4 linked regions of the Arabidopsis thaliana genome follow. The main gene of each other region encodes a partner of the protein of the gene in region 3 in a complex. Each region holds a gene or a part of one and is shown on either strand. Other genes may lie near its edges.

Evidence for each region.
Region 1: XPB2 (region 3) and AT1G12400 share a complex: the UniProt entries of both Arabidopsis thaliana proteins name them as parts of the 7-subunit TFIIH core complex.
Region 2: XPB2 (region 3) and AT4G17020 share a complex: the UniProt entries of both Arabidopsis thaliana proteins name them as parts of the 7-subunit TFIIH core complex.
Region 4: XPB2 (region 3) and GTF2H2 share a complex: the UniProt entries of both Arabidopsis thaliana proteins name them as parts of the 7-subunit TFIIH core complex.

Annotation. Positions count from the first base shown.
Region 1 is NC_003070.9:4,219,959-4,223,365, forward strand, and holds AT1G12400 (Nucleotide excision repair, TFIIH, subunit TTDA), read left to right. Parts: upstream 1-1,868; 5' UTR 1,869-2,052; intron 2,053-2,328; 5' UTR 2,329-2,337; coding exon of another isoform or gene 2,338-2,372; 5' UTR 2,373-2,411; coding exon 2,412-2,645; 3' UTR 2,646-2,907; downstream 2,908-3,407. Other genes in the region: AT1G12390 (Cornichon family protein), read left to right, coding at 389-460, 1,010-1,191, 1,271-1,393, 1,487-1,523; CLP2 (CLP protease proteolytic subunit 2), read left to right, coding at 3,141-3,190, 3,282-3,325. UniProt on the Arabidopsis thaliana protein: Component of the general transcription and DNA repair factor IIH (TFIIH) core complex, which is involved in general and transcription-coupled nucleotide excision repair (NER) of damaged DNA and, when complexed to CAK, in RNA transcription by RNA polymerase II.
Region 2 is NC_003075.7:9,577,348-9,583,289, reverse strand, and holds AT4G17020 (transcription factor-like protein), read left to right. Parts: upstream 1-1,850; 5' UTR 1,851-2,207; coding exon 2,208-2,320; intron 2,321-2,390; coding exon 2,391-2,558; intron 2,559-2,813; coding exon 2,814-2,882; intron 2,883-2,976; coding exon 2,977-3,070; intron 3,071-3,189; coding exon 3,190-3,290; intron 3,291-3,371; coding exon 3,372-3,417; intron 3,418-3,491; coding exon 3,492-3,551; intron 3,552-3,630; coding exon 3,631-3,699; intron 3,700-3,811; coding exon 3,812-3,895; intron 3,896-4,017; coding exon 4,018-4,101; intron 4,102-4,197; coding exon 4,198-4,283; intron 4,284-4,373; coding exon 4,374-4,464; intron 4,465-4,617; coding exon 4,618-4,698; intron 4,699-4,836; coding exon 4,837-4,911; intron 4,912-5,000; coding exon 5,001-5,134; coding exon of another isoform or gene 5,135-5,138; exon of another isoform or gene 5,139-5,223; coding exon 5,224-5,317; coding exon of another isoform or gene 5,318-5,351; 3' UTR 5,352-5,415; downstream 5,416-5,942. Other genes in the region: EXLB1 (expansin-like B1), read left to right, coding at 109-241, 588-697, 829-1,140, 1,276-1,473; AT4G17010 (transcription factor IIIB), read right to left, coding at 5,663-5,917. UniProt on the Arabidopsis thaliana protein: Component of the general transcription and DNA repair factor IIH (TFIIH) core complex, which is involved in general and transcription-coupled nucleotide excision repair (NER) of damaged DNA and, when complexed to CAK, in RNA transcription by RNA polymerase II.
Region 3 is NC_003076.8:16,542,775-16,549,868, forward strand, and holds XPB2 (homolog of Xeroderma pigmentosum complementation group B 2), read left to right. Parts: upstream 1-1,565; 5' UTR 1,566-1,799; coding exon 1,800-1,809; intron 1,810-1,908; coding exon 1,909-1,952; intron 1,953-2,039; coding exon 2,040-2,112; intron 2,113-2,192; coding exon 2,193-2,361; intron 2,362-2,443; coding exon 2,444-2,666; intron 2,667-2,768; coding exon 2,769-2,825; intron 2,826-3,132; coding exon 3,133-3,276; intron 3,277-3,384; coding exon 3,385-3,465; intron 3,466-3,561; coding exon 3,562-3,649; intron 3,650-3,860; coding exon 3,861-4,198; intron 4,199-4,383; coding exon 4,384-4,459; intron 4,460-4,546; coding exon 4,547-4,740; intron 4,741-5,035; coding exon 5,036-5,199; intron 5,200-5,286; coding exon 5,287-5,359; intron 5,360-5,461; coding exon 5,462-5,575; intron 5,576-5,677; coding exon 5,678-5,758; intron 5,759-5,975; coding exon 5,976-6,347; 3' UTR 6,348-6,410; coding exon of another isoform or gene 6,411-6,463; 3' UTR 6,464-6,553; downstream 6,554-7,094. Other genes in the region: AT5G41350 (RING/U-box superfamily protein), read right to left, coding at 1-79, 250-390, 612-614. UniProt on the Arabidopsis thaliana protein: ATP-dependent 3'-5' DNA helicase/translocase; binds dsDNA rather than ssDNA, unzipping it in a translocase rather than classical helicase activity. Component of the general transcription and DNA repair factor IIH (TFIIH) core complex.
Region 4 is NC_003070.9:1,448,088-1,452,529, reverse strand, and holds GTF2H2 (general transcription factor II H2), read left to right. Parts: upstream 1-1,628; 5' UTR 1,629-1,677; coding exon 1,678-1,953; intron 1,954-2,355; coding exon 2,356-2,817; intron 2,818-2,914; coding exon 2,915-3,293; intron 3,294-3,468; coding exon 3,469-3,617; 3' UTR 3,618-3,899; downstream 3,900-4,442. Other genes in the region: AT1G05060 (coiled-coil protein), read left to right, coding at 1-21, 111-235, 774-865, 993-1,079, 1,168-1,275; AT1G05040 (UBA-like domain protein), read left to right, coding at 4,082-4,389. UniProt on the Arabidopsis thaliana protein: Component of the general transcription and DNA repair factor IIH (TFIIH) core complex, which is involved in general and transcription-coupled nucleotide excision repair (NER) of damaged DNA and, when complexed to CAK, in RNA transcription by RNA polymerase II.

The sequences.
Region 1 (3,407 bases), on a different chromosome or scaffold from region 3:
ACAAAAATTACACGGCTCTCGTGCCCAAACCCAAACTGTTTACTATTTAATTGGGCTAAATCTATAGAGGCCCAATGGCTTATAAATCATAGATTCATAATACTGAAATATTAAACCGGCGTAAATGGTACGTACTTCGGGAAATAACGAATTCGATTTTAACCGGAAACTGAACCGGAAGCTGAGTCTCGTGCCTGCCTTCTCTAGGCTTCTTTGTTTCCGATCAGAATCTCGAGCTCAACTGTCAAAACTAGCCGACCACTAAGTCGTTGTCCTAACTTTCTCTCTGTTCCTCATCGAACATTATTGGGAGGAGAGAGAGAGAGAGAGAAGACCAAGAAACAACGAGGATAGATCCGAGGAAATTGTCGGAACCAAAAGGAGGAAGATGGGAGATATCTGGACATGGCTTATTTCCTTCTTCTTCCTCATCGCTCTTGTCGGAATCATCGTCTATCAGGTGCGATTCCCAATTTCTAGGATAAATAAACCCAAAGTTCTTAACTTTTCTATCGGAATTTGCCAATTTTTTCGCTTACGGTTATAATGATACCATATTTGTCCATTTTGATTCATTTGGAGCCTTTTTTTTGTTTCTGGGTAGTCTGTGATTTAGCTAGAATTAGGGTTTTATGTTCTTGTCACATGTTTGGAAGAAGTAAAGGTGTAATTTTTGGGAATGTTATCATCAAAGGAGTAAATTCAGGAACATATATAGTGCGTATTGGCTTCTCAAAACACTTTTATAGGTTCATAGTTAGTTCTTATGTTGGATGTTCATGTCAGGTCTGAGGATTTACCTCCTTAAGCACAGGTTGTTCTTTTATAAATGAGCTCCATTTCGGCATAATGAAGTGAACCCTTTAGTTTTGTTTGTGTAGACTCTAATGAGAGGAGTCACTGAGACTGATAAGCTAGCAAACGGAATCTTCCATGTATAAACAGCTTGGGAAGACATTTTCTAGGAAGCTAACTTCTCTTTTCTGAATTTGAATTCTTTCATTTGCAGCTTGTTTGCTTAGCGGATCTCGAGTTTGATTACATCAACCCTTACGACTCTGCGTCGAGAATAAACTCAGTGGTTTTACCGGAGTTCATTGTTCAAGGAGTTCTATGCGTATTCTACCTCCTAACAGGACACTGGTTCATGACACTCTTATGTCTCCCCTATCTATACTACAACTTCCATCTGTAAGTCCAACTAATCTCAATCTTTTGCTCCAATCAAATGTTGTGGTATTGATATCCTTTCGGTTTCTCCGTTGTTCAGTTACTCGAAGCGACAACACTTAGTAGATGTCACCGAGATCTTCAATTTGCTTAACTGGGAAAAGAAGAAACGGCTGTTCAAGCTTGCTTACATTGTCCTTAACCTCTTTCTCACTATCTTCTGGTAACGAGAAAGATATTTCGAATCCCATTATTGCTTAACCATAAGTAGATCAAGAGAGCTAAAACACTTTCTGTTTGCAACTTTTTTTCGTAGGATGATTTATTCGGCGCTGGATGATTACGAGGACTGACTAATGAAGAAGACATGGTCCATCTTCTTCGGTTTATTGACACTACGCTTAAAGATACAGCGACATGCTTGTGGACATGAAAAAAAGCAAGGAAAAGTGTTTGCTTTGTGATGTTTGTAAGATTAGTGGCAGGAAGATTTGTGTATTTATTTCTTTCTTAGAAACATGTTCAGATTAACTGTTTTTTTTATGTCTTGATCATTATTTGTACAAGCAATCAAGCTCGTAAACTACTGGTTACAGTAACAATGAAACTGAATAATTTCAAATATAAGAAGAAAAAAAGTTAATTCATGTGAACTTTGACTTTTAAAAGTGAGAAACCCTTTTGAGTGATGTAATAAACGATAACTTAAAAGATGATCCGAACCTTCTGTTTCAGTTTTGTAATTAGGTTATCTTATAAAGCTAATCCTTCTCTCCTTTACTGTGACAATAATCGTCGTTATCAAGGTGATTTCTTTCTCTGCCTCAAACATCGCTTACCCTCTTGATTGATTCCTCCAATCTTCTTCGTGTGGTTTCACAGGTGTGTGGTTGATCTCTAGACCAAATTGATCTGGTTTCATCCTATTTCTATTTGGTCTGTAATCGTTAAAGTCTTAAGATTTGGGAATCGAGTTTATGTTGTGGTGTTTAGGTAGCGAAACCCCAGTTATGTAATCGTTGCATCTAGTAATTTGGGGTCCTTGAATTGAAACAAAGGATTAATCTTTCATTCATCTATGTTCTGAGTTATCGAGGATGTTCTTGGGTCATCTTTTGATGAAAATTGAGCTCAGATTATTCGTGTTTTGTATTACAGGTTTTACTTATGGTTAATGCAATCAAAGGAGTGTTCGTCTCTTGGTACTTCTTACCGTTGTTACGATTCCTAAGCAAATCTTGATGAACACAATTGAATCATTCATTGTTTCTTTGTATCTTTTGTTTGTTTGCAGCGATATTCCGATGACACAATTCATAGTGAACATGAACAATTCGATGCCTCCGTCTCAGAAATTCATAATTCATGTACTTGATAGTACTCACTTGTTCGTGCAACCACATGTAGAGCAGATGATCCGCAGCGCCATTTCTGATTTTAGAGATCAAAACTCTTACGAGAAGCCCACTTCTTAGATCACATCACATCACACTTGCTTCTTGTTTTTCTTTCATTTGATTCAAATGAATAAAAACTTCATTGAGATCGTGAGATTGGTTGATATGGCTCATGCTTTAATAGAGTTAAAGTGAACTTTGTTGACAAATAATCTCTCTGTACCGGTTTAGTATCAGTCGGTTTTCTCTGGTTGTGTTGATTACTTTGTCACTCTTTTGTTGAATAAACACGTTTGTTTGGTTATTGTTCAATTACTTGTAGTAGATAATAAACAGATTAAAGAATTCGGAAGTTCCAAATTTCATTTTACTCATGAAGGATGAACCAAGTAAAATCAGAAACTAAGTTAACCACATACAATTTGCACATGTGAACCAATTCGGTTAAGCAAACCAATAAACCAATCTTCTTCAACAAATTACCCAATCTGTATGTAAGCTTTTCCACTTCTTCTAGTCTTAAAATAAAACAAACAAAAAATCTAGTGTTCGGCTCTAACACGCTCGACGACCATGGCGGTCTCGTTTAATACAACGCTTCACCAGCCTTCTCTGAGTCCGAGGTAATCTTCAATTTATCTAAATTTACATACTTTTGTCTCTGTTCACACATATTCACTTGCATCTGATTGCTTTGTTATGTCCTTTTTGCAGCTGTAGCATCAAGCTTTATTCTGGGTTAAAGCCTCAATCTGCAAGTTTGTTCCTTTTCCTCTTAATATGTCCGAAAGTTCATGTTTTTAATCGAATTGGTCTGCGAGATGTGAGGGAACTGATTTA
Region 2 (5,942 bases), on a different chromosome or scaffold from region 3:
ACTATCTTTTGTGATAAGAAATTCTATTATCAATTCCTATCATTTGTTAAGAAAAAGAGTTAGAAGTATTAATAATCTTACAATATTTATAGATAAGATAACAACAATATGAAGCATTCTCACGTTTTGCTTCTTCTATTTGTTCAAGTCATTGTCCTTTTGCCTCTCCTTTGTCTATCCGACGATTTTGTTAACTCTAGAGCTACTTATTATGGCAGCCCCGATTGCAAAGCAAATCCTCGTACGTATTAAAATTGTTATTGCTATATACATCGTGTACCTTAATTCTTTTTCATTTTCTTAGTTGTTGTATAGACTTGTACACGTTATATATTGGTAAAAGATACATTGGTGTAATATCTCACTATAAGCCATAACTAATTATTTTTGTTTTATATCTACGTATAGGTTTCTTGTTTTGTTTTATTTTGAAGGTTTATTCAAATTCTAAATACATATATGATTGAAAACGAGTCCACTAAGTGTCCATTAACTGCGTAATTAGTAATGATAACTTTCCATTATGAGAATATACATAATATTTGTCGAAAGAATAAGAATAATTAATTAATTTTTTGATGATGCAGGGGGACATTGTGGGTATGGAGAATTTGGAAGAGATATCAATAACGGTGAAGTGAGTGGTGTTTCATGGCGACTATGGAACAATGGAACTGGCTGTGGTGCTTGTTACCAGGTTATTATATATAGTTATCTACTTATCTCAATCAATATTTCATCAAATATTATTATAGTATATGCTATGTCATTAATTACTAAACTTATATTATGAAAGAAAAAAAAACTTATTTTATGAATTATAAAAAGGTGAGGTGCAAGATACCACCACACTGCAGTGAGGAAGGAGTATACGTAGTGGCTACGGACTCCGGAGAAGGAGATGGCACGGACTTCATCTTAAGCCCTAAGGCGTACGGACGTATGGCGCGACCCGGCACAGAAAATCAGCTCTACTCCTTCGGTGTAGTCAACGTTGAGTACCAAAGGATCCCTTGCCGATACGCAGGGTATAATCTGGTGTATAAGATCCATGAGAAAAGCTACAATCCTCATTATCTTGCCATCCTTGTCTTGTACGTTGGTGGTGTTAATGACATCCTCGCCGTTGAAGTCTGGCAGGTAAATTTAATCAAAGATGTTGAGAAACTTAGATATATGTTTTTGAGGATCAAAATATATAGTTTACTCTTAGATGATTTTGTGAAACAAAGTTAAACGTTATTATATGGTATGCATGTATATGTATGATTTTAGGAGGATTGCAAAGAGTGGAGACGTATGAGAAGAGTGTTTGGAGCGGTTCATGATTTGCAGAATCCACCTAGAGGCACTCTCACATTGAGGTTCTTAGTCTACGGAAGCGCAGGAATCAATTGGATCCAATCGCCAAACGCTATTCCCGCTGATTGGACTGCCGGAGCCACCTACGACTCCAACATTCTACTTACTTAATTGATTCACTTTTCATCAGTGTGTTTTTATCATATAGTATTTATTATGGTTTCTGTATGCAATGGCTAATATATTTAAATAATGCCCTCTAGGACAATATAATTAATGATGATAATATAAATAATCGTAGTAGATTCATATATAATTTATGTATTGTGTCTCACTAAGAAGATTGTAATGGTTTGTATGAGTTTGATTTTGATGGAATAAATCAGTACTAATCAATTTATCAGATGATGATCAAACGTTTCGTAAGCTTTTTTTGTTTACATTTTGGTCAGTCAAGCATATATCTCTCCCTAATCAACCATTTTCATGAAAACAAATTGGCGCGATTTTTGTTATATAGATAGGCCCATTAGTAGTATTCACAAGGCCCATTAAAACTTAATTTATCTTGGCCATCCTCTTCGATCGATTTCGTCAGTTTTCTTTGATTCTGGGTAGTAAATAATCGGGATCAATTGTAGAAGAGCTCATCGAGAAAAGAGAGAACCTAAACTTTAAATTCAATTCTGTATTGTTCTCAAACTCGAACCCGAAACTTTAAATCCTTCCTTATTTGTTTTCTGGAGTTCTTGTTTAGAACTGTTTTGGATTTGTTTTTTTTGAGGAGATGCTTTAGTTAACTAGGTTTGCTTCGAGCTGATCGCTGTGTGGCATAAACCCTAATTTCGTGGAAACTGTGCTCTTTTAGAACCGGTCCAGTGAGTAAGGGAATCCAATTGGTGAAGATGCCGCAAGTTAAGATCATTGCTAAAAATTTCATGGACATGGTGGCGTCACTTCCAGCCATCAAGCTTGACAAACTCTACAACAATGTCTTTATCTGCGAAGCCATTCTCAGGTTAATTTATGTGTCTATGTTGTTGAATTTTGAAAAAATTGAGGATCTTACATTCTTAAGATGGTGTCAGGTCTTTGCCGCCTCTTGCCAAGAAGTATGTATTGCAGATGTTGTACATTGATGTTCCTGTACCTGCTACGATGATGGAGGAGTGGGTGCTCGCAGATGGCACCTCTAAACATAGAGTTGCTATTGATCGACTGATTCAATTAAGGATTTTTTCAGAAATTAGTGATAGGTATGCATTCTTGCTTTATTCTTGATACTGTCATGATTTGACTTATTTCAGTTAGTTCAATACTTCTGTCTATTCACGTTGGAGGGTTTATTTGATATATTTATTTAAAAGAGTGATGGTGGATGTTAACTTGAGCATTGAACCCTATGAGCTTCATCTTATACTTCAATTTACTGTGTTTGGATTGATTATGATTGTATGTGGCAAGATGATAGTTCAGATTTAGTTCTTAAGCTGCTCTTCGTACTTTTGCAGGAAAAGGGGAACCAGCTACAGCCTAAATCCTACATTTCAGAACAATCTTCAGAAACATATTATTTCCGGGTAAAGACATCTTTACATTGACGGTACTCTCCTTTTTCGTTTTTTCTCTAGGCTTTTGGAGAAGATGCTGATGAGCTAAATTTGAATTTTGCAGTGGAGTTTTGCCTAGAGAGCCTATGAACTCCGACAATGCCATTAAACTTCCAAGCCTACAAGAACTCGAAACCTATGCACTTAAGCAATGGGAGGTGTGTGTATTTCCTAATTTCTTATTGATAATACTAGTAAGGTGGAAGTAATTTGTAAAACAAATATCTTTTAATATGAACTTGGTTAGTATCTGATGATGTGTACTTATGTTTGTCAGTGTTTCTTGCTACAACTTATAAATTCGGGTCAAGGTGAAAAACTAACTGGCATCAGTTCATCCATGATGAAAATTTTTCAGCGAGGTTTATTGAGTCAGAGGTAATGTTTTCATACACGTCTATAGATGCATAGTGGTGGCATATAGCCTCCCTATTTGATACACTTCATGTAATATTGCAGAGACAAAGATGGCCCGAGATTAACTGAGAGTGGCTTTCAGTTTTTGGTATGCAAATCGTGAGTCAGTGGTCTATAATTACCTGTATTCATGTAAGTAACCTGATTGACCTCAATTTTCAGCTGATGGATACAAATGCCCAGCTTTGGTACATTATTCGAGAATACATATTGAATGCCGAGGTTTGTATTATTCCTAAGGTTTTGTGAAATTGATATCTCTATTTCGCCGAATGGATAACCCAATGCCAGTGTTTCTCAGGAGCGAGATGTAGATCCAGCAGACTTGATTTCGTTTTTGTTGGAGCTTAGTTTTCATGTTACTGGTCAGGTATAACAGAACTTCACAAAAAAGTCATTTCAAGCGTTCTTGTTCTTGTTTTTACTCTTACTTGATTTAGCGGGATGCTTGTTAATTATTTCGGTGAGCTTACACATTGCAGGCATATAACTTAAATACCTTGACAGAGGTTCAAAACAATACCCTCAAGGACCTTGCAGACTTGGGATTAGTCAAGCTTCAACAGGTTAGACTTAGACCATTTGTAATATTTTTTTTATTACCAAATATCAAAAGAAAAAAAACTTTGCTAAAGTTATGATTATAGAACTATATCACATGCTGAGCCAGTCTTTATGATTATTGAAGGGAAGGAAAGACAGTTGGTTTATTCCTACTAAACTGGCTACAAATTTATCAGTCAGTCTGGCAGATTCATCAGCGCGAAAAGAGGTCACACCTTTTTTATTCCCCTCTTGTCCCATATCTACCTGCTACCAACAATTTTCTTGATTTTGTGTATCGCTGTTGTTTGTTGTTCCTCATCAGGGATTTGTCGTGATGGAAACAAACTTCAGAATGTATGCGTACTCCACATCTAAGTTACAGTGTGAAATTTTACGACTATTTGCGAGGTAGAAGCTCCTGAACATCGACCTGAAACTTTACTCTTCTGTGTCTTAAAATCCTTTAGGTCTAAGTAGTTGGTGCTTCATTATTTCCAGGATAGAGTACCAACTTCCAAACCTTATTGCTTGTGCCATTACAAAGGAAAGTTTGTACAATGCATTTGACAATGGCATCACATCAGATCAGGTACAGTTGGTTTCAGTTGAAAAACATTTTGAAGTTATCGAATACATGATTTTGCCCGGATCCTCACTGTCCTTGAAATGTTGATCAAATTGTTGATGCGTCTCTTTATAGTTTCTGAATAAATATTTTTTCCTTTTCTTTTGATTGTCACAGATTATAACTTTCCTCCAGCAGAATTCTCATCCACGATGTGCTGATCGAGTCCCATCTATTCCAGAAAATGTCACTGATCAGGTTTATACTCTCTATGCCCATCAAGTGTCGATTATACAAAAATGTGTATAGGATTGGTTTATAGAATTGAAAGTGTATACTATCTCTACGTCCTGATTCATCAGGCTTATGTTGAATAAAAATGCATTGTTCTGGCAGATTCGGCTTTGGGAGACAGATCTGCAGAGAATTGAGATGACCCAGGCTCACTTCTATGATGAATTTCCTTCAAAAGTAACAAACCTGAACCCTCTTATTATTTTCTCTTCTCCATAACGCAAAACCGTTATAGTAAATCTCATTAACCAAAATCATGTTAGCAGGATGTGTTTGAGGCAGCTTGTGACTTTGCTCGGGAATGGAGAGGCCTTCTTTGGGAAGACTCTAAGAGAATGCGACTTGTTGTGAAATCCGAAGTTCACAATCAGATGCGTGAGTTTCTTCATACCCAAAGCAGGTAACAAGAAGAAACTCACATTTTCTTCTCGTATTAAAACAAAACATCATGCTTCGATTCTACAAACTATGTCTTTCGTGAGGTTTCAGCAGAAAGAGAAAAAAGAGTAGCCATTTGATGTCTTGTTACTCTATTAGTTACCATCGTTTTTATCCTGCTAACACATGCGCACCCCAAACGTAGGAAAAGTACTTGGTGTTGGTACCCACGAAGTTGAAAGTTGAAACCTTTAAGCTGTAAGACCGATCCATTGTAAATCACAATATACTTTATTAGGCGAAGTTAAGTTTGAAACAACATATATTGACAAAACGTGGTCGTTGGGGATGGTCCAACCAGGGTCACCTCTATAATTTCTTGTACGCTAGACAGAACACAATCTCGGTTTTGATTCTATTCAGTTGACCAAATTTCAAAATTATTAAAACCTCAGCAAATGCGAGGCTACAATCTCAGTTTAATCAACTAAGAGGATGTATTCAGAGACGCTGAATCTATTCTGTGTCAACATGAAGACAAGATCTGACTTCATTTTGCTTGAGATTTTTCGTTGGCTGAGGACTCTGAATCCTGGATCTTATCTCCCATGTTTGCATCTGTAGTCACATTTGCATTTCCACGTGCCCGAGCGAGTTTCTCAGCTTCTTCAATCTTTCGTATAGCTTCCTGTTGTGTTGCGTTCATCATTGTCCCCATCGTTTTCTTCTCTCCTTCGAGCTGAATTTCCATTATGGTACTAGCATGCTTGTCTATCGGTTTGAAGTAGTCTTCAATTTGAGCCTCCTGTATTGGTAAAAGACCCAAAACA
Region 3 (7,094 bases):
CAACACCAGTAGAGATTGCAGAGGAAGTCCTGTTATGAGCGGAAGATAAAGGCACACGCTCTTCTGTTGCCCTTGGGTACTGCAAAATACAAGTCATAAAACAAGTTATATTCCCATATGAATCTCGAAGCCCGTTGGGGCTTTTAACTCATTTAGTGTCCTGAAGCACATCAAGATTGATTTATTTGCAGCCTATCAAAGCAAGGACACCCAAAAAAAACGAGGAAGTGGGAGAAGTATCAGACTAACGTAGTAGTACGCAGGTCCATTATCTACATCAGCTCTTCGTGAAGAAGAACAACAACAGCAACCTCCCATCTCTTCTTCTCTTTTTTTTTTTTTCTGTTTTACAAAAACTACAAAACCCGAAGACTCTTCATCTATGCTAACCTACAAGATATGTGAAGAAACAAATTACATTCTGAGATCAGTAGGAGAATATTTATCATCTATATGCAAGAAACTCAAACAAGCTTTATCGTTTTCGATATCAGTTTGAGCTGTCTACTAAAGTCTGATCAGACTCATCATGCTAGTAGCAACAATAAAACAATTCAGCTACTAACAGTTCAAATTCACTCTCAATAATCAAAGATACAATAAACATCAACCATTAAAATCGAGACAACAGTGTTGCGACTACAAGCCTATGTGAATCTCCTACAATTCTCATTCTCTTTAGCACCATCTACACACAATTGCAATAAATTCAAATCAGTTTTACACTAAACCCCAAAAACTTAAAACAATTCTACTCAGAATTTAACTCCAACACAAACAATGAATCCACAAAAAGAACCAAAGCTCCATTAAGAGCAAGCTAATCCGTAAAACCCTAAACCGAAACTTATAAAAGCAACAATAAACATCAGAATTCTCAGAATCTAGCATAAACACATAGGAGAAATACGGATCAAAACAGTAAAAAAAAAACCCACAGAATTTCACACAAAAATCAAGCTCAAAACCTAAAGAAAAGCGATCACTAGCAAGAACAAACACCAAAGAAGAACCGATCATCTTCTCGAGATTGAATCAGAGAAGAGGAATTAAAAATCTCAAAATCATAGAGAGAATTTTACTTTTTGTTCTTGGGGGAAGCTTTTTTTGTTTTGTCTTCGTCTTTCTCTGCTTCTGTGCTTTTTGCGGTGCTGTGTTTATCGTGCGCTCTATCAAAATGACTTTCCTAAGAAATTACAAAGACTCTTTTTGGGCTCAATATTATATTTACTTACCTGATTTATTAAATTCATTAATACAATTATTAATTAGCTGATTAATTATTTTATTTTTTCCGTTACAATGTATTTTTCAAAATTTCAATAATGAAATTACATAACTGAAAATCGGCTGAAAAGTGTCGACCAAAAAATTATAAATTGGGAAGTACCATTTTCAGTAAAATTATTACTATTTTTTTTCCGGCAAATAATTTATCGATGTTTAAAAAAGAAACATGGGCTCAAACTTAAGAATAAAGCCCATTTAAAGAATCCTATTAAAAGCCCATATTTGATCTGTTACTGCAGCCTTTATATATGAATCGTGTTCTTACGTTTCTGCTTAACAATTTCCTTCCTCCGCTTCAAACGAGTCACCGACTCGACACAGGAATCCGAATTCGCCGGAGACGCAGCTTGCTTCGTTGAATAGCTTACAACGGGAAATTACCACGAAGACGGTTGTATATTCCCTCCGTCGTACAATTTAGGTTATGTGCGAATTCACAAATTGAAAATACAAGAGAAACAATCCCTAAAATCGATTTGATTAAGAGGAGCGAAAAGAAGAAAATCAATATGGGAAACGGTAATGGTCTCGAATCTCGATCGTACTGAGTTTTGATTCGTTTATTGAATTATCCGGTGAAAAGAGTATGCTAATACTGGGGAAAATGTTGATGTTTAGATGAAAGAAAACGACCTACAAAGAAGATGAAGTACGGTGGGAAGGTTCGTGTTGATTCTTCTCCACATGACTTTTTTTATTTATTAGGCTCTTCACTTCTAGTTAGTGTAATTGTACTGTAAAAATCTCAGGATGATCAAAAGATGAAGAACATACAAAACGTTGAAGATTACTATGATGATGCTGATGAGGATTCTCGTGATGGTAATATTGATTACTCTCGTATAATTAACATAGATACATTGGGAACAAAATTGAAATAGAATTTATAATGGTTTTTAAAGGTGAAGGAGAGGAGAAGAGGAGAGATTTTACTGATTTGGAGTTGAAGCCGGATCATGGAAATAGGCCTTTGTGGGCTTGTGCTGATGGAAAGATTTTCTTGGAGACATTTTCTCCTCTCTATAAACAAGCTTATGACTTTCTTATCGCCATTGCTGAACCCGTTTGCAGGTTTGATTTTGATTTGATTATTATATCAATGTACAAGTTATGATTTTTGTTGTTGATTTTCATTCATTTGTTACTATTTCAGGCCTGAGTCAATGCACGAGTATAATTTAACCCCACACTCGTTGTATGCTGCTGTTTCCGTTGGTCTTGAGACAGAAACTATCATCTCTGTTTTGAATAAGCTATCTAAGACCAAGCTACCCGGGGAGATCATTGATTTCATCCATGCTTCTACTGCTAATTATGGGAAAGTGAAGTTGGTATTGAAGAAAAATCGGTATTTTATTGAATCACCATTCCCGGAGGTAAGTTCACCAGACTGATCCTCTTTCTCTAGTTATGCGTATGGGATTTTTGTGTAGTTTCTCTGTTGGTTTTGCTCACTCGTTAAATATAAACAATCTTAGGTGTTGAAAAGGCTTCTCAGTGATGATGTCATAAATCGAGCAAGATTTACTTCTGAGGTATGTTGAACTCCTCAATTTAGTGCTTTATGTTTACTATTACTGGATGGAAATACATACCATGATCTGTTGTTCTCAACAGTTTTTGCATCTTTTGATACCAATGCGGCAGAGAGATCTATCCTGATTCTCTTGGGGCTATTGGTTTCGTGTTTAAATTCTAATTTTTTCTTGAACTATTTAATAGATAAATAAACTCATTATCCTTCTTTTTAAACTCCTTGGTTCATTGAATGTGAAATTGATATCTCTTATACCATTGTATTCTCCACAGTATGTTGAACCAACTTATTAACTTTTTTTCTAGCCATATTATGGTGGTGATGGATTTACGATCGGCAAAACAAGTGGTGAACTTGAAGCAGGACCTGGGGAGTTGTTGAATGAAGCAGAATTGGCAGCAGCAGCAGAAGAGAAAGAAACTCACTCATTTGAGATAGACCCTGCACTGGTAAATTTCCCCTAATGCTTCTGAAATAAATCGTGTTGATGACTTTGTTAATGTTATATGATCTTTACTCAACTCACGGTGTCATGTTCTTCTGCTCTTGGTGTGTAGGTGGAGAATGTTAAGCAGCGTTGCTTGCCAAATGCCTTGAATTACCCTATGTTAGAGGAATATGACTTCAGGAACGATAATGTGAGAAATAATTATCACACTTCAGGTCAATTTTTACTTATCAGATGATATGAACTGGATGTTCGTGATTGTTAATAACTTGATGGTGTCTGTCAGGTTAATCCTGATCTTGACATGGAACTGAAGCCCCATGCACAACCAAGGCCATACCAGGAAAAAAGTTTGAGCAAAATGTTTGGAAACGGTAATACGATATAACTGTCTACGCCCGCATTTATTTTCCTTAGTAATTTGTTTACAGCGACTGCTAAATTGATTGTGAACTTCTCTTAGATATATAGATTTGTACTTTCATACACTGTTCTGATCTAGCTTCATTGTGAACTTCTAATAGATAAGTATCTTTGTTATTTCTCCTGAAAGCTTGTGACTGATCTAGACTCCTGATTCTGCAGGACGAGCAAGATCTGGGATTATAGTGTTACCTTGTGGAGCTGGTAAATCTCTAGTTGGTGTTTCTGCAGCGGCTCGTATAAAGAAGAGTTGTCTTTGTTTGGCAACGAATGCTGTCTCGGTGGATCAATGGGCCTACCAATTTAAGTTGTGGTCTACTATAAAAGATGACCAAATATGCCGTTTCACTTCTGATAGTAAAGAACGATTCCGTGGAAATGCTGGTGTTGTTGTGACAACCTATAATATGATTGCCTTTGGTGGTAAACGATCTGAAGAAGCAGAGAAGATTATAGAAGAAATGAGAAACAGAGAGTGGGGGTTGCTGCTTATGGACGAGGTAATCAAATTGTTCTTAGTGTGATGTGCCTTTGAATTGAAGTTAGTGTTTACTGGTAGTTTACATTGCGGAAAAGTTATATGTGGTTCATTTAGAATGTGTATCCACTATCCAGTGTTACTGGGATCTACAAATAACAAGTTTCCATCCAATGCGTGACATTTTAAGAGTTATGTTTTTCATAGGTGCATGTGGTTCCAGCCCATATGTTTAGGAAAGTTATCAGTATTACAAAATCTCACTGCAAGCTAGGACTTACAGGTAAATGAAAAATTCATTTTCACATACCTTTTTATTTGTTATACTTCAGTTGCAGAAGCTAAGTCTCTTTTTTGGTCTTTTGTTCAGCCACCCTTGTGAGAGAAGACGAAAAAATTACAGATTTAAACTTCCTCATTGGCCCGAAACTCTATGAAGCCAATTGGCTAGATTTAGTTAAAGGAGGCTTTATTGCAAATGTTCAGTGTGCTGAAGTATGGTGTCCCATGACCAAAGAGTTTTTTGCAGAATATCTGAAGAAAGAGAACTCGAAAAAAAAACAGGTTAATGCGTCTAAGCTTTCTCCGCATTGATCTTTGTTTTCCTTGGATATTTTTACTGGATAAAGATCTTAAAATAATTGACTATCTTATTTTATGTTTGTTTGTTTTGATACACTAGAGTCCATGAATTTGATGTAGTCTAGAACCTTATAATATGGTAAACATCAATATTATAGGTTATTTGTGTATGTCTTATAATTTGGCAAATGCTTCTAATAGATCACCCTGTAATAGAAACTAGGAAACCCCTTCAATTGTTCTGACATTTACATATCTTGTCTTCTGGTGTCTGCAGGCGCTTTATGTCATGAACCCTAACAAGTTCAGAGCCTGTGAATTTTTGATACGTTTCCATGAACAACAACGTGGGGATAAAATCATCGTCTTTGCAGACAATCTTTTTGCACTTACAGAGTATGCAATGAAACTCCGGAAACCGATGATTTACGGTGCAACCAGGTTCGTTAAAGAACCACCTATTGAGAGCACAATTTTGTATGTTTCACTCAGTTTCCAATCTGATAGTTCTCTTTGTTCAATATGTAGCCATATCGAACGAACAAAAATTCTCGAGGCGTTTAAAACCAGTAAAACCGTGAACACTGTATTCCTGTCAAAGGTATTAGCGTTGTTTCCTTTCCATTGACCTGGGAATATATAGAGACTTGTTCATTCCATTTTCATCAAGTAACTTAGTTTCGGTTTCTTTTATTGACTACAGGTTGGTGATAACTCCATAGATATCCCTGAAGCGAATGTGATCATCCAGATTTCGTCACATGCTGGTTCTAGACGTCAAGAGGCTCAACGTTTGGGTCGTATCCTTAGGGCTAAGGTGTGATTTTAAGTATTATAACTCATCACATTTTGCGTCTCTCCTAGAGTTCCTCTTGGTTGTTGGATCCAACACGTTTTATTTCTCCGTGATCAAAAACAGGGTAAACTTGAAGATAGAATGGCTGGTGGAAAAGAAGAGTACAATGCATTCTTCTACTCGCTTGTTTCTACCGATACACAGGTAAATCACTTTATTGTTGAAGTAGCCATAAAAACTGAAATTCATCAGACCAAATCAGAACCAAAATATAATTCAGTTCTAGTCCGCACTCGTTTCCAAAACACAGAAAAAATTTTGCTTTCCAGAACCCGTGACTTGAATTCCTGAACCGATAAAAATCGAATGACTGATTGAATGGAGAATGACTGATGTAAGGATCGTGAATGTTGAAATGCAGGAAATGTATTATTCAACGAAAAGACAGCAGTTTTTGATCGACCAAGGTTATAGCTTCAAGGTAATAACAAGCCTCCCACCTCCGGACGCGGGTTCAAGCTTGGGCTACCACAGTCAAGAAGAACAGTTGTCTCTTCTCGGAAAGGTGTTGAATGCTGGAGACGATATGGTTGGTTTAGAACAACTTGAAGAAGACACAGATGGAAAGGCTCTAAAGACGCGACGAAGCATGGGATCGATGAGTGCAATGTCCGGTGCAAATGGAAGGGTCTACATGGAATACAACTCAGGTCGTCAAAAATCTGGTAACCAATCCAAGAAACCTAAAGACCCAACCAAACGACACAATATCTTCAAAAAACGTTATGTTTGAGACAAGAGAACTCATATTCGGCTATATGTTTTGAGTTGTAACTTTGGTGCAAATTTGTTTCAGGCACAAAATCAAGAAAACCTAAACGAAGACACCCTACCTTAAAAGACCGTTAACATTTGATATTTGTTTTATTATGTGAATTGATTAATTGATATTAGAAAGTTCTTTCCTTTTTTTTGATATTTGTTTTCTAGCATATCATGATATCGCCTCGAGAATACCTTTGAAAATTATTTTGTTATTGTCAACTGTCATGATATCTCGCTGAACCAACATATAAAACACGATTATAATTTGGTTGACAGATCCTGAACAACAGTAAAACGTACTTAGTTTTCGAGGTTAAAAAATAATTACTTGTCATGATTTCGAATTAAAAATAATAATGGGCTCAATTTGAGATTAAAGAAAGCCCACGCTAAAAGAGGCCTACTAAATGCCCATATTGGATCCGTTATTGTAGCCTTTCTATATATGAATCGAGTTTGCATTTCTGCTATAACGTTCTCTGCATTCACATGATCACATCAACTCAGTAACGGACTCGACATACCCGGACCTGGACCCGACACCGAATCCGAATCATAATGCGACGGAGACGCAGCTCGCTTCTCGGTCTAGCTTACAACGGAAAATATTTACGGTACCGTTTGTTTTCCCTCTGTCGTAGAATTTCTGTCTTCGACACCGGATTGATATAATCGATTGAAAAGACAAGAGATAATGTCTAAAATTGATTCGATG
Region 4 (4,442 bases), on a different chromosome or scaffold from region 3:
AGTCACTTTCGGCCGTAGAAGGTTCAAATTAGGGTTTTATACTCTGTTTCACTTGATGAGTATTTCAAAATTTTGGATTTGTTGTTAATTTGTGTCGATTTTTATTGCAGATGGGATTTACCGGAATCTGAGAATTCGGTTTTGGCGTCAACAGCTAATGAATTGAGGAGAGACAGATACGGCACTCCTGTAAATCCTGAGAAATTGAAAGCTGCTGGTGAAGGGCTTCAACATAGTATGATCACTTCTCTTCTTTTGTTTATCTGCAAATCAAATCTTTTTGAACGTGGATAATTGGATTTATGGATACAGTTACCTACAGAGGAACATGACTAGATTTGGGTTGTTTGCTAGAGATAGAAGGATTGCTATCTTTACGTGTTCTGTTTTCACTTCCTTGCTTTTGTTAATGTTGATCATGTAAATTGCTTGCCCAAACTTGTCTATTTTACCTTGTTAGGGACTGCAATGGCAGTAATTCTGAAAGGTTTCAGCTTACTAGAGAAAACTTTGGTTTGTTTGGTTATGAAAGCCAAGATTTTCCGTGGCTGAGGGTTCATGAGTGTCTAATGTAACAACTGCTTTCTGGTTGTCTCTTTTTGACTCTGATGACAAATAATCTAAGTATCTCTCTCACAGCCTAGAAATTGTTGATAATATTGCTTAGATTGAGATTCTGTTATTGTCTTTTGTCTTTTAATGTTAATTGATGTCGTGAAGTGTTCGGAAAGTTTGCCTAATCTCGAGCCCTCTGATTTTTCTGGTTTCTGCAGTTGGAAAAGCATTTGCAGCCGCTACTATTATCATCTTTGGTTCAGCCACTTTGGTTTTTGGAACGGCAGCCTCGAAACTTGACATGCGTAATGTAAGATTGCATATGTTTCCATTTTCTTACTTAAATCATTTAGATTAGCATTTCTAAGCATTATTGACTGATCTTGAATGCCATCATCGCCTTACTTGGTTTTATTGTATGATTTTCGTTCTGTTAGGCTGATGACATAAGAACGAAAGGCAAAGATCTTTTTCAGCCAAAACTGGAGTCGATGAAGGAACAAGTAGAGCCCTTAAGAACTTGGGTAATGTTTTACAAAGATACTTGCATCTTCTCAACTGAAGTGGATCATAATCATTAATAGACTAACCCGAAAAGACCATAAATTTCAGGCTGAAAACATGTCGAAGAAGTGGCATATTGAGAATGAAGGTGGTAATACTATCAAGGAGAAACCAATCTTGAAGGAGCTTTCGAAAATTCTGGGACCTAAATCTTAAAAGGCCAAGACCTTTGGTTAATGTGTAACCATGTGGATAGAGAAAGTCAAAGAAGAAGTTCTATATGTTTGTAAGATTCAATAAGATCTTAGGTAAATTATCATATTGTGCTGTAAGAACTAAGAAGTTTCAATGTTGCTGTATAAAGGTTGTATCGAGTGATTTAAGTTTTGTATAATAAAGTTTTTATGAGTTTCAATATCAATGTTTCCTATTGTGTAAGCAAAATAAAATGTTTCACTTCTGATTGGACATGGATTGGTGGGTTAAATATACAGAATAGGAAGTTACAGTCAAAATTGTGAACGTTATAATAAGTAAGGGTTGTTTATGTAAATTTTGGCTTCAGTAGAGTTCTCTTCTTCTTTTTGTAATTAGGTCTCTTAGACGGTGAGGTTAACGATGAGTAATCAAAGAAAGAGATCAAACGATGAAAGAGAAGAAGAGGACGACGAAGATGCGGAAGGTATCGGCGAGTGGGAGAGAGCTTATGTTGACGACCGATCCTGGGAGGAGTTGCAAGAGGATGAGTCTGGACTTTTACGGCCAATTGATAACAGTGCCATTTACCATGCTCAGTATCGCCGCCGTCTTCGTATGCTCTCCGCCGCTGCTGCTGGTACTCGTATCCAAAAGGGACTTATTCGATATCTCTACATCGTCATTGACTTCTCTCGGGTAAATATTTTTCTTTGCAATCCGCCGCTGCTGCTGCTGATTTTGTGATTTTTAGCTTCAATGCCGTTTCCTTTGAGTTTGATGGCGTGAAATTGAGCTTATGTTGCTTTCATCAGAGCTTATATAAAAGAGAAACTATGCACTTTGGGTCACTGATAAGTAACTTTAATGTAATCGTCGTTCTAGTTTTGGAGATCTCTGCTCTTTAGTCTTCTCAATAGGTTCTATAATTGGCTCTGTATTGTTTGCAATGATAATCTTACTCTAAGTGGGTTTGTAGAGCTTAAGGATGTGATCCTTATTCAGATTCTTTATTGAAGGCAACATTATGATTTGGGTTCAAATTTCTCTAGTTCCAAGGTATGCAAAGTCTTACACTTTGGACTGTTTTGTCGTGTCTAGGCAGCTGCGGAAATGGATTTCAGACCAAGCCGGATGGCTATAATGGCCAAACATGTCGAAGCTTTCATTAGAGAGTTCTTTGACCAGAATCCTCTGAGTCAAATTGGGTTGGTCTCTATAAAAAATGGAGTTGCGCATACATTAACAGATCTTGGTGGTAGTCCTGAGACTCACATCAAAGCGTTGATGGGGAAGTTGGAAGCTTTGGGTGACTCCTCTTTGCAGAACGCTCTGGAACTTGTACATGAGCATCTCAACCAGGTTCCATCTTATGGTCACCGCGAGGTTCTGATATTGTACTCAGCTTTATGCACATGTGATCCAGGCGATATCATGGAGACCATTCAAAAATGCAAGAAATCCAAATTAAGATGTTCTGTAATTGGGCTCTCTGCAGAAATGTTCATATGTAAACACCTCTGCCAGGAAACTGGCGGATTGTATTCAGTTGCAGTGGACGAGGTGAGTTTAGCTACCTTCTACTTACACTTGGACCTTTGAAAAACTTGTTTTGTATGGTATAACATTGTGCTTTGTGTGTATTTGTCTTTTCACGCAGGTGCATCTAAAGGATCTTCTGCTTGAACATGCGCCTCCACCTCCGGCAATAGCAGAATTTGCAATTGCAAATTTGATCAAGATGGGTTTCCCACAAAGAGCTGCTGAGGGTTCAATGGCGATTTGTTCGTGTCATAAGGAAGTTAAGATTGGAGCTGGTTACATGTGCCCAAGATGCAAAGCTCGGGTATGTGACCTCCCTACGGAATGCACTATCTGCGGTCTAACACTTGTTTCTTCGCCGCATTTGGCGAGATCATACCATCATCTCTTCCCGATTGCTCCATTTGATGAGGTGCCTGCACTTTCAAGTCTGAATGATAATCGGAGAAAATTGGGAAAGAGTTGTTTTGGTTGCCAACAGAGCCTAATTGGTGCAGGTAACTACTTGAACACCATTTTATAGAGTCTTAATACTGTTGGTTGAATAACCATTTGGTCACTAGACCAGTAGTTGAACTTAAGATACGGTTCACCCTTGTCATAGTATATACAAAGTAACCGATCCATTCACTCAAATATAAAGGCTCATTGGTGCTTTTGTTTTTTGCTTAGGGAATAAACCCGTCCCATGCGTAACATGTCGTAAATGCAAGCACTATTTCTGTCTGGACTGTGACATATACATCCACGAGAGCTTACACAACTGTCCTGGCTGTGAGAGCATTCACCGTCCCAAATCAGTTTCTTTGATGGAAGAATGAGAGAATGAATGTGTTCACACTTCCAATTATAAATCACAATTGAGATGATGAGAGGAAGCAATTTTTTTTGTGATATAGGATGTTGTAATTGGTCTTATGTCCTTAACCAAAATCTTTCTTCTTTTGTGGACTCTATTGCTCTCTCACAATTGATCCAAAACAAACCGACTCAAATTTTCAGAGATAGCATTCTTAATTGTTTGATTTTCTATTTAACTTGGGCTTGAAATTTCTTCACTCATGAGAAAACGAACAGTAGTAATAAAGAATTATTTCGGTGGTAAACAAAAGGAGACCGTATCATCAGTTGTTTGTTGATACTGTCATGACAAGGTCGCAACTACTTCCCTAAATATCTCTCTGTTTGTTAGAAGCTTTTATATTAGATCTAAGTGAAACAATTCTTAGTGATTGTCATAAGTAAACAACGTACTTAATCTTTGAGAAAAGTCCCTAACACCACCATGAAGGAAGAAGATACTAACGTCACTAGGTTCTGCAAGGCAACGTCTGCGTGTAAAGATGCAGCATTCTACTACCTTGAAGGATTCGACTGGAATCTCGAAGACGCCATCTCTGGTTTCCTCGGTGATCAACTTCCTCCGCTCAAAATAAGAGCGACTCCACGGAGGGTGAATGAATGGCGAGAGCGATCTCGATCTCCTTTAAGAAGAAGATACTCTACTACCTCTGTCTCGGAATTTACGCTGAAGATGCGCCAAGATGAGATAACCATAACGAAAAGCTCTGATACGGGTGCTTTGGCCACCAGGTGGGTGATTTAATAATATTAAGGGCTCGGTAATCCAAATCATCTAAAAAGAA